3 linked regions of the Nothobranchius furzeri genome follow. The protein of the gene in region 1 binds, or shares a complex with, the protein of each later gene. Links are inferred from orthologs where the notes say so. Each region holds a gene or a part of one and is shown on either strand. Other genes may lie near its edges.

Region 1 (5,167 bases):
GTCTTGTTGAATTCCTGGGATATCTGAATGACAAGTACAACAGCTAAGCTAACGACGCACCATCAGACGCTGGACTTTCACAATAAAAGTCAGTGGAGAAATTACTTTTTTGCTAAGTTTAGAACAAAATAACACTAATAAAACTAATGAAGAAAATTTTAATGCTTTTTTTTATAAGTTTTTTTTTGCTAACCTGTTAATGAAGTCCAAACACATTTCACAGCACAAATCTTAGAAATAAAAAAATAAGAGCATTAATATGTATAAAAATAAATCAATTTCCCTTTGGGTGAGCACATAACATCTATTTGTAAATTTACAGAGCAACATAAGAGCTCACAAGGCTGACTTTGACATTTTTATGTTGGTAGGTTTGATTTACAATTTTACTTGATTTGTCAGTATAAAAAAACGTAACATCCTGAGACAATTTGAGAAAGTTACATTTTATTTCTTTATTGTTTTTTAAGTAATCTGTACAAAACATTATTAATCTGAACAATTGTGTACAGAATGACATACAAAAACACTAATCCATATTCTGTCACTGCAAAGAATGAAGCATTGCATCAGACACAGAGGTCTTTCATTGCGTAGGTATATTGGCTTTTTGTGTAACAAAAAAAAAGTCTTCCAATGTGTCACAAAACATCAAATTAAAATTTGCATTCATGTATTTATTAGTCACCTCCAGATCTTTTAAACTGGGACCTGTTTGTTGATAAAAATAGCCTCTCCATCAGTTCCACAAACTAAGCACTGTCCAAGCACATCCAAGCTGTTGACAGACAGCGTCTGGCTGGGCAGCATGTGGGTCGTCTCCAGGCGGCTTTTACTGGAGTCTCCGTTGAGCCAGGCACTGATGAGGGACTGGTTTCCTCCAGCAAGGGCCATCGCACTGCGAGAGGTCACGCTGCTGTTTCTGCTACCTGGAAACACAACAATAACACTTTTTACAGTGAAATTACGACAAATAGTACAACATGACAATGTTTAATAGACTGACCTGGTGTTGGACATTATCAGGAAATTCTTTGTTTATTTAACCCTAAATAATGTAAACTTTCAGTAAAACATTCAACTGGATATTTTCTTGATTATGGCTTTTGTGTTTCCATAGAATCTTTATAATTAAGAAAATAGAAGAAGTACATAGGCAGCCTTTTAAACTGAATACCAATAATAATAATAATAATGATTATTATGATGAATAGGACTTGCCTTGTAGAAAGGAGGGCATGTCTGAGTGGGAGGACGTCTCCCAGTGCAGCAGCGATCCATCCTCTGAACACGTGAACAGGTGATCTGGGTTGGTAGGGTGGAAGTGGACCTCCCACACTGCCAGGAAAGTTAGACAAAAAGCATTAAAAAAGTGAAAAATATTTAAATATGTGTGTAAATTATATGTCCATTAAATAATTAAAAATGTACATCTTACTTTCAGCTGAGTGGGCCTCCATGAGGGATGAGGGCATGCTGCCTTGCCTCACATCCCACATACAGAGCATTCCATCCTGGCCTCCTGTGGCTACAATGTGCTGCTGGTTTGGATGTCTGTCAATGCAGTACAAAGGAACTCTGTCTCCTGACCTGATTGGAGGAAAATTAAAATCCACATACATCAGCAAAATAGTAGAATTAAAAATGGGGAAAACGTGCTAAAGCGGATCTTACAAGGACAGAATCTGTGATGCCGAGTTGCTCTGTTGTCTTAGATCCCATAGCTTTATTTGTCCGATGGAGTTCACAGTCAAAATCTCCGTCGTCCTCAGGTAAGTCACAGCATGAATCGTGCTGCTGTCAGCATTCTCTACCAAATGTACCCGCAAAAGCATGTTGACTTGACACCGAGTTAAAGTGTACAGAGTTCTGAATGGGGTGGTTTAATCTCACCTATGACTTGAGCCATACAATCCTGGTCGGCTCTGAGGACAATAATCCTGCCGTCCTCCCCAACTGTGATGATCTCAGGGCTGCTGCACACAACTGCAGTGCAGGGAGCATTGTCACAGGGGTAATGGTGCGCTTTCACCCACTGCTGGGAAACTGAGATTGTCTGATGTAAGAAGAAAAAATGATTTTATAAATAAACAGCAAAGGCAGCAACACAACCTTCATACAGGAGTTGACATCTTTTATGAAAGCTCTACTGCACCTGACTGTTGTGATGGTGGCGGAAGATGGTGACTGCTCCCGTTGATGAGGCCGTGACGATTCTCTCTTGATCCAGGAACTATAATCAAGTAGTATAATCAAGTCTAATTTGGAGGAATTGGACAGCTGAAGCTCGACTAAAACTGAGTCATGCAAAACAATGTCCCACGCACGTGTCAAAATTTCAACAGAATGGCTGCAAAACAAATGAGTCTGTGTTGCAAATCCTCCTGCTGACTATAACAAGGCTGTGCACTGAGAAATCCTGCAGACCTACAAAGAAACAAAACTATTGATGCATAGAACAACAGATTTGCCTTCTGTATTAGCAAAATTCTGAAATGCGCAGAAAATGTACTTTATTTGTTTTTATGTGCATCTCTGCAGGGTTCATTGTTGTTTTAATTTCTTTAAAGTGCGTACAGCACTTTGGTCTGTCTTCTGGTCGATGTAAAGTGCTTTATAAATAAAGTTGATGGTGATGAATAATTGCATTATTAGTATGTTATGACATTATTGTTACAGCGTCTTACCTGGAGGCCAAGAACATCTCCATCGTGCTTGTTTTCACAAATAAGCTGCGGATCTCCTTCAAATCCATCTTCCAGGCCCGAATTTTCGTAATTACCCACGGACCAAATAGATATCTTGTTTTCCTACAGAAATAATTTTTTTTTTAAATAAAGGCCACATCCTTGCAAAAAAAATGACCAAAACGAACCTGACAGACACACAAAAAAGCAAACTATGTGTAACAAGTGTTAAATCCTTTTTGACAGTTACAACGTGTAAGTGTGCATAATCAGGAGAAACACAGAACATTTGAAAAACTGGGTAAATTTGGTTCACCAAAAATATTCAACTAGCCAACCTCGTTGTCCCACGATCCCGTCGCAAAGATTTCTGGTTGTTGTAAAAACGAAGACGACACAGGACGCCATCTGGCCTTGCTGACTTTTTGGGACACGTACTTAGCACTCTCCATGAGAACAACCAACGTTTCTGCTGCCTAAATACGAAAAATATTCTTATTGATGTTAGCTTAGCTCTATGTACGCACCCACTAGCTTTAAACGTAAGTACGGTGGCTCAACAGGATCAAACAATCTGATCTGCGTTTCTCGCAAGAAATGTGAATTTGTACATTCCGCCACCTAGCGGTCGTCTCCGTTGTTACTGCGGCAAAAACCTGATAAAGCACTGCATGGCTGAGGAACGTGGCTTTTATTCCCTTTCGTCTGACGCTGACTTTGATGCATCATGAACAGATTAATTATATTCTAAAATGACATATTTTTCTGCTTGGTCGTGCATCTGAGAGGCGGCTCTGCTCTGTAAAATCATTTGGATGTCTAGTGACGTATCCGCCGCTACGCCGTCTGCTCTGGAGGTTGTCAGCTTCTTTGGTAAAACTATTGGCGCAGGCGCGGCACTTACAGCTGCTGTCTACTTACTCCGTAAAGTCTGCTTAATAATGGCCTGGAAATCTGGAGGAGCCAGCCACGCAGAGCTTGTCAACAACCTTCGCAGTGAGTCCGGTTGCAGGTTTAAAGCGGCAGCAGCGATGAACTTCACCGCCGCGTCGCCAGAAAACGTTGTAGTTTGGAGGCTGGGGTTAGCTTAGGAGCGGTAGCTACTAGCAAGCTATGTTTATGGTGACCCAGCGTCTCCTCCCGCCTCTCCACCCCTTTTCCTAAACCACGTTTTTCGCTGTGGGACCATGTGTGGGACAAGGCAACGCTTTTGTCACAGCAGGGGGGAAAAACCCAGCAGAAATGACATTTCCGTTTTGTTGTAAATCGCAGAAAAGTGGTGTCCTGTGGGAAGTTAGCTTAGCATGTTAGCAGTATGTGCGTCATTTGAGATTTTATGCTACTGCCCACTGTCATTGATGTCTGTGTCTTCTACTGGACTTCAATGTGAATGACAGTAACAGCTGTACATGTCCGGATAGTTTCTGCTGAGCTTTAATACTCGGATACATTTAAATAATGACAAGTTGCTGTATCACTGCAGCTGTTAGCTACATAGCTCTGTGCCAAAGCCCACGACTCATTTCCATTTAAGAAGCCTGATTGTTGAACATTTTCAAATTTCTGTGCATATATTTTAGCTGATGTCTTTCCATGGACATTTAATATCCTTTCACAATATTTTAATAAGAAATCGATCAACCTTAGTCGATCTGCAGAAATCAAAACAGTTTCTTTATTGTTTGCACACATTACAACCTGCAAAATGTGTTTTAAATTATCAAACAAAAAAGTCAGAGTAATTTTGAGAATTTTGTAGGAGGGTGTGCCTAGCGTCAGCTTGGCTTTCTGGGCTTATAGACACGACCTATTTTTCCAGTTTATATCTAGTTACCAGTTCAGATCTTGTTTTTTTATATTCTAAATTAATAAAAGTTTATTCATGTAACCAGCCTGTCAAAAAGACAAACTATGAAGTAAAGAAAACTGTAATGCTGGCATAGAAGTAGGGATGTAAAAGTCAACCGAAACCAGGAACCGATACCAATGCAGTTGCCTGAAAGTGGCTTCACCATAACTTGTCATTTCTGTTCACCTAATATTTCAGTTTTGTGATCATTTCTATGAATATATTTTATTTTTTATCTACCTCACAATCTTTTCCTGTTGAAAGCAGAGAAGAAAATAAAACCTGTATTCCAATTCATTGCATTATTTGTGTGGTAGAAGTATCGGCGAGTACTCAGATCCAAGTATCAGTATCGTATCGGTTTGGACAAAAGTGGTATCGGTGGATCCCAAGTATGCTAAAAGACATACAGTGTCATTTCCTGGTTCTCCAGGACAACAATCCAGCACATTTTAGACATTTCTGTTTCAACACACCTGATTAACAGGTTTCTCTGGACCTTGATGACATGTCTAAAAGGTAATATAACCACTGAAAATCATTACAATAGCAAAAGCATCCTGGTTATTGTTCCAGGAAGACCAGGATTGGACACAACTAGTGCAAGAGGAACCCCTGACAATTGTCTTTA
Region 2 (4,571 bases), on another chromosome or scaffold:
TCCCTTCCCTTGCTTGAAAAATTGTTCCAAAATGAAAGTTGAGCCCACATCTTTTTTATCTGTGAATTCAATGCCGTTCGGCGAGTCTCAAATAAAAATGTGGGCATCTTACTGTAAGAAAATATACCATTAATGTAAAAAAGAAACTCAAAATGAACTATGTTCACATCCAGAATCAAACCCAGGTCTTCTGAATGGGAGTCAGACGTTTTACAAGGTGAGCTACACACCCGTGAAATTCACAGTATCTGTAACTTTTATATCCTTGATGACACCTGAAACAACGTCAAACCAAAGAACGGTTCAAAGTGAAAATGGCTATTTTGTTGCTAATTTGCAGGAAATATCTAGAAGAAAGTTCTACAGAAAGTAGCTAAGGGTCCTCAGAAATGTAGCTAGCTTTGTCACTAGGCGTTAGGAACAGCGACAAAGTGGCACTGCCTCTCTCTCTGCTGCTAAAGCTACGGATAGCAAATGCTACGGGTTATGCCTGAGCGTGAACGTGCATGAAGCAGCCTGCTCGACCCGAGCATCTCTCTTTTTCTGTGATTTTACAGAAAAACAGGCAATCACAGTAAAAATGCCAGGGCTCATTCTACAGGACCAGGCATTGCAGGAGAATGTATGAAGAAGAAATGTATTATTTCTGTACATGTTTTGGCTGTCACACTTCCATAATGTCCCTTTAAAGACCCACTTTTATGATGTGGCTTTTAGACAGTGACTCGTTTTAGTGTTTTATTGTGTTAATGTTTTAATGTGATCTTAGTATTCCTCATGTTTTATCTGCTTTTGATCGGTATTTTTATCTTCTGCTTTAGTTGCTTGGGTTGGTTGTGTTTTGGTTTAACCTGTGCAGCACCGTGAGCAGCTCCCACACTGCGTTTTAAACGTGCTATATAAATAAACTATGGTATGGTATGGTATGGTTCATATGTATATTTATTTTATTATGCGAGAAGTGAGACATCTTCACAAAGAGAAAAAAATAAAACACAACTCCATAGAGTTGGAGTGTTTTCGAGCCGGTCCCTGTAAAACCGAGTCCGCTGCAGCAGCAAGAACCTGAACCACGTCGAGGGTGTTTGTAGTGACAGCATGCCAAGTCCATCTGTGCCTGCGCCTGAAAATGTGTGAACCGCTATCTGTTTATTCTGGTGATATGTGTGTGTTTTTCTTGTCATAAGTGAGTTAGTGTAATTGTGTGAGTAATTGCAGGCGCTGGTGTATACGAGGACTGATTAGAGGGGAAAGTCCTCTCCCTGGCTCGGAACAGGGTTTCAAACAAAGACATGCGTACATGGCGTGAGCGATCTTGTTTTTCTCCGTGTTTATCTTTGCTTGCAATTAGAATATCCCTGGCAGTGTTTCCACTGATCCCAGTCCAAGTTTCTGCCACACACAGACTCTGACTCAGAGGTGTCAGCCCGGGCGGCTGCAGGTGTGTGTGCAGAAAGATGTCGTGTGTCACCGAGTCTGTTTTTATGTTCTCTCTTTTGTTTATTTTTAAATCTCCCCTTTCTTTTCCTCTTCCTCTCTTTGCAGATTGTGCACCGCTGCAGCAGACAGAAAACTACGCCTGCTGACTTCTGATCTTCAGGAGCGGCACGAAGTCAAGGTAGCGCAACATCTGGAGCACATTGGCCAGAAACTTCGCTTGTCATTAGGAGTCTCCACGATCAAGTCTAGCAGGAAACAGATCTGCAGACTTAGCAAAGCAACATTTGCAGAAAACATTTATCTACCAATTTAATGGAATTTTTTTTCCCTTACCTGTAGTTTTCTCATGTTTGTTGCCTAGGCGATGGAGGGCCACACCAGCTACATTAACCATTTGGTGTTTGAGCCCACAGAAGGGAAACAAATCGCTTCCGTCAGTGATGATCACACTTGCAGGTCCAAACTATTTTATTTCTCTTTGTGTGTGTGTGTGTGTGCGTGTGTGTGTTCGTGTTCATTCCCAGCTTCTAATTTTCAGTCCTGTTTTTGGTTAATGGTGCAGAAAGACCTGACTGCGTTTCCACCGTGAAACTTGACGCTAAGCACAACACGGTCCAGTGTGACCGTGCATAAGCACAGAGCTGCTTTGTAGCTTCCTCTTGCTAATTGGTTAAATATGGAAATCCAATTAGCTGCAGTGAGATTTTTTTTCCCCCCTCTTAACAAGGATTCCTAAATTTTCCTTTTCAATTAAGGCTGGAAAAGGTGAAACATGGCGTCACCAGTGAGGGTCAGTGCTGGTTTTAGCTGCTCATTAGTGCTTATTTATTCATATTTGCTGTTTCTTTGAACTAGTGGTGTCAAGTCCGGCTCCTTGTTAGGTGTTGCTCTTCCCAGACGTTAGATCCAAGTCAAGTCAACTTTATTGATAAAGCACTTTACAACAGCATAAAAACTGACCAAAGTACTTAACAAGCCAAAAAGAACAGAAGTTCCCTAAAAACTCTAAAAATAAGATAAAAAGTTCATCACAAAGTAAAAACATGATAAAAACAAACATATCAAACTGACATAAAAGCTACTAAAATCAGATGCATTCTCAAACTGAATTAAAAGCAACTGAGAACAGATGAGTCTTTAAAAGTGATTTAAAACCCGACAGTGACGAAACCATCCTAATCTGAATTGGGGGTGCATTCCACAACCTTGGAGCTCCATCACCCCTGAGCTTGCTCTTTGTTCTCGGCACCTCCAGGAAAAACTGGTCGGCTGACCTCAGTGACCGAGACGGGGAGTGAGTAACTAAAACTTCACACAGATACTGCGGAGCAAGGCCTTGTACAGCTTTAAAAGCCAATAAAAGAACCTTGTACTGGACCCTAAAATCCACAGGCAGCCAGTGCAGCGAAGCTAAAATTGGGGTATAGTGCTCCCTCTTTCTCGAGCCCGTCAATAGGCGTGCTGCTGCATTTTGCACCATTTGAAGACGGGAGAGGTGAGACTGAGGAAGACCAAGGTACAGTGCATTGATGTAATGAACGCGTGAATCACCGTCTCAGAGTCATGACTTGAGAGCAGACGCTTAACCTTGGCGATCCTCCTTAACTGATAAAAACCGTCTGATTTGCTTTTCCAGAAGCAGATCACTGTCAAGCTGGACTCCCAGACTGGTTTCAAAAATAGGCTAGCGGACCAAGGTCAGCAGAACATGGCCCACTGGACACACTAGGACTAAAAAGCATGACCTCAGTCTTGTCATTATTAAAATGTAAAAAATTTGCAGACATCCAGGTTTTAACCTCATCGAGGCAGTTTAGAAGAGGATCTAAAGAATTGGGTAGGCCACGTTAAACGGGAATATAAACCTGGGTGTCGTCTGCATATAGATGAAAAGAACATCCATGTTTCGTAAAAATCGAACCCAGAATCCAGTGGTTGGATGATCTCCTTAGCATGACCTCTGGCTCTGCAGAAGCAAAGAAGAGAAGTACTGAAGTGGTTTGAACCCTTTAGTTCAAAATGCTTCAACATTTCTAACTTGGTGCACATCTTTCCTGTTTTGAGTATTTTGCATCCTTTAGAAATGCTTGTCAGCACGTGTCTGTAGGAATTATAATATTTAAATATTCACTCTGGCATCTGATTAAAAACGAGTAATCCTGCCTTACTTGTCAGGATATATACGCACAGTTAGCTGATGATGAGGTTTATGGTCACAATAAACACGAGCAGAGCCAGAAAAATGCAAACGCAAGCATCTTGGTTGCATTTTTGTTGTGGAAATTCCACATTTATCTGTAAAATACTAATAATCTGTTATGATGAAACATTTAGACGGACACGAGGATCGGTCCACGTCTGTGATCACGCCGTATAAACGTCCTCCGCTCCCAGCTCCCGAACCCCCTCCCGCCCCTCTGCCGACTGTCCAGAGAAAACAGGAGCCCGCTCCATCTGCTGAAAGGTTTAAATTCTGTCATGCTGAGAAAATACGGGACGAGGTAGGAAGACGGGCGGAACGAGGGATGGATCAGGTTAACAGGAGAGTCAGCCCACACAAACGGAGCCTTGATCTGAGAGGAGGGAGGGTTATGTCAGCATGTGTAGGTTCACGACCTCTCCGTCAGCCTGTTGGCTTTGGCCGGAGGGCCTCCACTATAAGTTTGCTTAGTTTTGTCATCGCCGTCCCCTGCAGTGTTGGGACCTCTGCTGCAACCTGATGCTGCAGTATCTAGGCGGGGAACCAGACTCCACTTCCTCAGGCTGTAGTCTAAACAGCTCAGTGGGTCACTATAGATCAGTGGTAATCAATTCAAACCCAATAGGTCCCGTCCTTAAAATTTCTTTCATAACGAGGTCCAAACCTCACGTGTACCTCACCCCATGGCTTACTTATGACCATTAAATCAACTACTTACATTTGTGTTTCATTTGAACAACATTTATTTTTGGTGTTCACATTAAAGGGGCATTATGGAAGTGTGACAGCCAAAACATGTATAGAAATAATAAATGTCTTCTTCATACATTATCCTGCAATGCCCTGGTCCTGTAGAATGAGCCCTGGCAGTTTTACTGTGATTGCCTGTTTTTCTGTAAAATCACAGAAAAAGAGAGATGCTCGGGTCGAG
Region 3 (4,571 bases), on another chromosome or scaffold:
ACTCGTACTACCTAAAGGGGTTTCATTACATTTCTCCCTGTTCTGTTTCAAAGGAAGTACAGTAAAGCAGAGACACTGATGACAGTCACAGATGCAGTCCACGATATCGCATTTGCTCCTAACTTGGGAAGGTCCTTCCACGTCCTCGCCATCGCAACAAAAGATGTCAGAATATTTAAGCTTGTTCCTTTGAGGTGATGTCTTCATCCTTGTTTTTCTGCACCTTAGTCTCAGAAGAAGGTGTGTTGTAACAAAGTGTTTTACTGATGGTCGTCTACGCGCCTGTACGTGCTTTGAGTCTGCAGGCGTCGGTTAAACCCACAGGCAGAAGCTAAACTTTTGTTGTGGATCTGTCTGACAGGAGGGAGAGCACCACCACCGGACCAACCAAGTTGGAGGTGCAGATCGTGGCTCAGTTCGACAACCATAACTCCCAGGTGTGGCGTGTGAGCTGGAACATCACCAGCACCCTGCTGGCTTCCTCTGGAGACGATGGCTGTGTTCGGCTGTGGAAAGGTGGGCAGCTGCCTTTGGCTCACTCAGCTGGTTGGATCTGTTAGTTTGTGCAGCGTTCTCAGCTCATTAGAGGAGAAATGAACTCAACGGTCAGCTGGTTCTCTGTACCTAAACTAGAACAGGAGGGGTGAAACATGGAGCCACTTCAGCATGTCCACGCTTACTTCTACTAGTCTGGCTTGACAGAACCTAGAACTCCAACAAGAACTTGTGGAAACCCTATAAATATGTCGACGGTGGAAACAATAAAGCTTTAGTTTCACTGTACATTCCCTTTAAAAGTCAGGCTCTCCACATCGTTTAACACTTAATAACCATTAAAATTAAGTTACAGAGAAAAGCATTGTCGTATCAAGACTTTGTTTACAGCTGTAGCTCATTAGTTTTTATCAGAACATCTGCAGAGATCTCAAGGAGGGATAAATGCCTTGTAAGTCGTACTCTGGGGAAAAATGCTCTGGTGCGCCTGTTGCAGAAACTAGAAGTGAGCCTCAGCAGAGCTGAGCTTCAGACTGCAGGATTTGGAGTTAATCCCGGATATTCTGCGTACCAGTCAGGTCCTGCTTTTACCACCTCAGGCCAATTTCTAAGCTAAAGCCCATCCTGAGTGTCCGTCTGCTTCTCGCATTCAAATCTTTGAACAGTCAGGCTCCTCCCTATCTGTGTGAACTCCTCCATTACTACCACCCTCCTCGTGCTCTTAGGTCTGAAGATCAGCTCCTCCAAACTGTCCCTAAGGCACGTTTGAAGACCCGCGGGGAAAGGACTTTTTCTGTCTGCCCCAAACTTGTGGAACTCATTACCTCTTCGGGTTAGGCAAGCACCCTCTATTGGCGTTTTTAAATCACGCCTGAAAACCCACCACTTCCCCCTGGCCTTCAACTCCCAAACCATGAAGCATGAACTCATCCTTAGATTTTCCACCTTGTTTGTTTGATTTTAAATTTGTGTTTTTATATTCTGGCTTTACTTGTTCTGTTGGTTTTAACTCTTATCTTTTTTTACTTCATATGATATACACGACTATTTTAGCTTGTGTTTTTTACAGGGTATCCGCGGGTCCTTAAAAAGTCTTAAAAAGCCTTAAATTAGCTTTTCCAAATTTAAGGCCTTAAAAATCCTTAAAAATGACAAATAATCCTTAAATACAGTTTCCAGAGGTCTTAAAAGACCCAATAAACAAAATTCTTTTATTTCTATAAACTTTTCGTGAATTTCTAGTTGGTGTTTAGCGTTTTTTGTGTACGTTGTTGGCGTAAGCGGAACCGTACACATTCAGTTGGTTGTGAAAGGGGGCTATTTTTAGATGAGCACATTAGCTGGTTAAGCTAGTGGGAGCTTGCGCCATGGGGAAGTTTAATGGTAACTGGATGGCTAATCCCACGATCATGGCGTGGTTAGCACCGGTTCCAGGCAACAGCTGGAAATTATAGCTTAAATGATAAATGACCCGCACTTGTATAGCGCCTCTCAGAGTAAGGACTCCAAAGCGCTTTACACTACAGTGTATCATTCATCCATTCACACACACATCCACACACTGGTGGGGATGAGCCATGATGTTGCCACAGCTGGCCTGGGGCGCACTTACAGAGGCGAGGCTGCCGAGAACAGGCGCCACCGGTCCCTCCGACCACCACCAGCAGGCAAGGTGGGTTAAGTGTCTTGCCCAAGGACTCAACAGCAGAATTCTCTGTCCGGAGCCGGGATCGAACCTGCAACCTTCCGATTACTGGACAACCCGCTCAACCTGTTGAGCTACTGCTGCCCTGCTTAAATATCTTAAATTTGGTCAAAGTGGCCTCAAAAAAGGTCTTAAAAAGTCTTAAATTTGGCTCTCTTAAACCTGCAGATACCCTGTTTTATTCATTTGTTTTTATGTGCAGCGCTTTGGTCGGTTGTAATGCTGCGTTAAAAGCGCTCTACAAATAAAGTGGTATGGTACCGAGAGGTAGCTTCTGCAGCCCATGGGAAGGGGGACCCACGTTTCCTCTTCAGGCTGTGCCCAGCTGGGTTTCCTGGGTGACAGCCCAGCCGCCAGGGGCTCTTTAACCTGCCCCACTTGCAGACCTGGCTCCAGAGGGGCCCCTGGTGACCCGCGTCTGGGTGAGGGAACACTGTGACTCCCTCGTTCCGCTGGCCTGATGATAGACTTTGTTGTTGTTTCATCTGCCGCATGTCTTGGACACTCGGGTGAAGAGAGGGGTGGAGCTGTCAACTGACCCCTGCATGGTGGTGAGTTGGCTTCGATGGTGGGGGGAGGATGCCGGTCAGACCTGGCAAGCTTAAACGTATTGTGAGGGTCTGCTGGGAACGTCTGGCAGAGTCTGGTTAAAGGTTAAACCTGCAATAAAAGCCCACTAGAGGGCAGTATATAGTTGTCCTCTGAAAGTGATCAGGGAAAGTACTCGGCAGTCGGCCTGAATCTGTGGTCTCCGGGTCTGCAGCGATACCCTTCTCAAAGTGTGCTGAAACCAGAATCCCTTGCAGCTGTTGGTGTTTCAGTCCTGGACAACAAGGCTCCGAGTCGAGGCCTTGCCTCATTGCTTTTCCTCCATTCTGAAGATGAACAAACACTGATGTCACTTCCTGTCTTTGAGCAGCTAACTACATGGACAACTGGAAGTGCACCGGCATCCTGAAGGGGGACGGCAGCCCGTTGACAGGTTCGTCTGGTCAACCCAGCGCCATGAGCACCGTGGTGGGCTCCTCCATCCAGACCTCCCAGAATGCCCTGAACGGGATGTCAGCAGGAAGGTAGGTGGTGTCGTGTGCCTGACGCCACTCACCCCGTCCCAGATGAAACCGTCACAACTGACAACTTCCCTGCCCCTCACACTGACTGGGAGTGCAGCCGCCCACTGACAAAGCTGTTGGACTCACACTGACCCGGTGCAAAGAGCTTGGCTTCTGTCCTCCAGCTGCAGGTTGTGTGTGTGGAGCGGGAGGTGTTTTTCTGCTTATGCATGTCAAAAGAGATGTCTCCACTTACCTAATGTAAGGACTGACCTTGTGTCTGATTTTGGATATGAATGTTGATATGTAGTTATTTTAGGAGATTCAGCAGAGCCGTTGTATTGTTAGGGAGCCTCGCTGGGACGGGCGGTTTCATCTCCACGTCCCGGTGCACCAGCAGCAAAGTGATTCAAAACTCATGTTTCAGAGTCGGAGAAACGCCAAACTCTTTGCTGAGCAGATCGAAACCATTAACCAACCCTGATCCATGAATGTGAGGATGAATACAGCCGTCAGAGTCAGAACTGTCTGTCTTAAACAAAGCTCCTGTTTTAGGAAGTACTGTATGCATTTATGGATTTTCTATAATCTAAATGTAACCATAAAGGGAAAATAACATGGCCATCTGATTGGTTAAGAAGTTTGTGGTTTCAGGTTTGGTCGGCGTTGATGTGAGGCTGTATTCATCTTCTGTTGTATTCATCAGCCTTAGATTCTGTGGGATATTTCAGTCACTGTGAATGAATTTTGAGTGTAATTGTGAGAAAACTTCCAGCTGCTGTAGATTACTTCCTGAATGCCCTCTGTTTGGAGAAATAAGACCAGCTGCCTGTTTAGACAGGTTTGACTTTTTCGTTAAAGCCATCTACAGCGTGGTAATCATTTCTAACTTTTACACTAAAACACATTTAAAATGGCTGAATTATCTCTTGAACATATAATCAAGCTGTTATGTTGTTCCTGTTCCTAATCTGAGTAACAAATGTGTGTAGTATATAACAACTCCTACGACCAGCTGTTTGCATAACTTTGACCACGTCTACCATTCCAGATACACGTTGATTAAAAACAAATGTGAAGTGAGTTTGTTGAAGTTAATTTACTATTTTATTGCTTGTTGCATGCAGGATTGCCAAAAGAGCTTCCTTTGCTCCTCCCCTGCGGCAGCTGACCTCTCCAAAGATAAACCAGAGTCCTGCATATTACTAATGTCTCGTGCACGCCACCGCCTGCTCCCCGTGGCTGTTTGAGACTAGTCCCACCGAAGCACATTTCATAGCTGATAACTTGTTGAAGTTTGGATTTTTGGCATGAAACCT

What was found.
Region 2: nup43 (region 1) and nup37 share a complex: the UniProt entries of both Homo sapiens proteins name them as parts of the nup107-160 subcomplex of the nuclear pore complex. The link is inferred for Nothobranchius furzeri from reciprocal best matches to the Homo sapiens genes NUP43 and NUP37.
Region 3: nup43 (region 1) and seh1l share a complex: the UniProt entries of both Homo sapiens proteins name them as parts of the nup107-160 subcomplex of the nuclear pore complex. The link is inferred for Nothobranchius furzeri from reciprocal best matches to the Homo sapiens genes NUP43 and SEH1L.

What each region holds. Positions count from the first base shown.
Region 1 is NC_091742.1:11,413,917-11,419,083, forward strand, and holds nup43 (nucleoporin Nup43), read right to left. Parts: upstream 3,360-5,167; 5' UTR 3,140-3,359; coding exon 3,026-3,139; intron 2,811-3,025; coding exon 2,688-2,810; intron 2,234-2,687; coding exon 2,156-2,233; intron 2,057-2,155; coding exon 1,894-2,056; intron 1,811-1,893; coding exon 1,675-1,810; intron 1,591-1,674; coding exon 1,439-1,590; intron 1,339-1,438; coding exon 1,218-1,338; intron 930-1,217; coding exon of another isoform or gene 926-929; coding exon 700-925; 3' UTR 431-699; downstream 1-430. Other genes in the region: pcmt (protein-L-isoaspartate(D-aspartate) O-methyltransferase), read left to right, coding at 3,503-3,683. UniProt on the Homo sapiens protein: Component of the Nup107-160 subcomplex of the nuclear pore complex (NPC). The Nup107-160 subcomplex is required for the assembly of a functional NPC.
Region 2 is NC_091741.1:39,615,925-39,620,495, reverse strand, and holds part of nup37 (nucleoporin Nup37), read left to right. Parts: intron 1-1,545; coding exon 1,546-1,618; intron 1,619-1,801; coding exon 1,802-1,896; intron 1,897-4,571. UniProt on the Homo sapiens protein: Component of the Nup107-160 subcomplex of the nuclear pore complex (NPC). The Nup107-160 subcomplex is required for the assembly of a functional NPC.
Region 3 is NC_091745.1:49,015,706-49,020,276, reverse strand, and holds part of seh1l (nucleoporin SEH1), read left to right. Parts: intron 1-53; coding exon 54-194; intron 195-361; coding exon 362-516; intron 517-3,119; coding exon 3,120-3,273; intron 3,274-4,379; coding exon of another isoform or gene 4,380-4,461; exon of another isoform or gene 4,462-4,571. UniProt on the Homo sapiens protein: Component of the Nup107-160 subcomplex of the nuclear pore complex (NPC). The Nup107-160 subcomplex is required for the assembly of a functional NPC.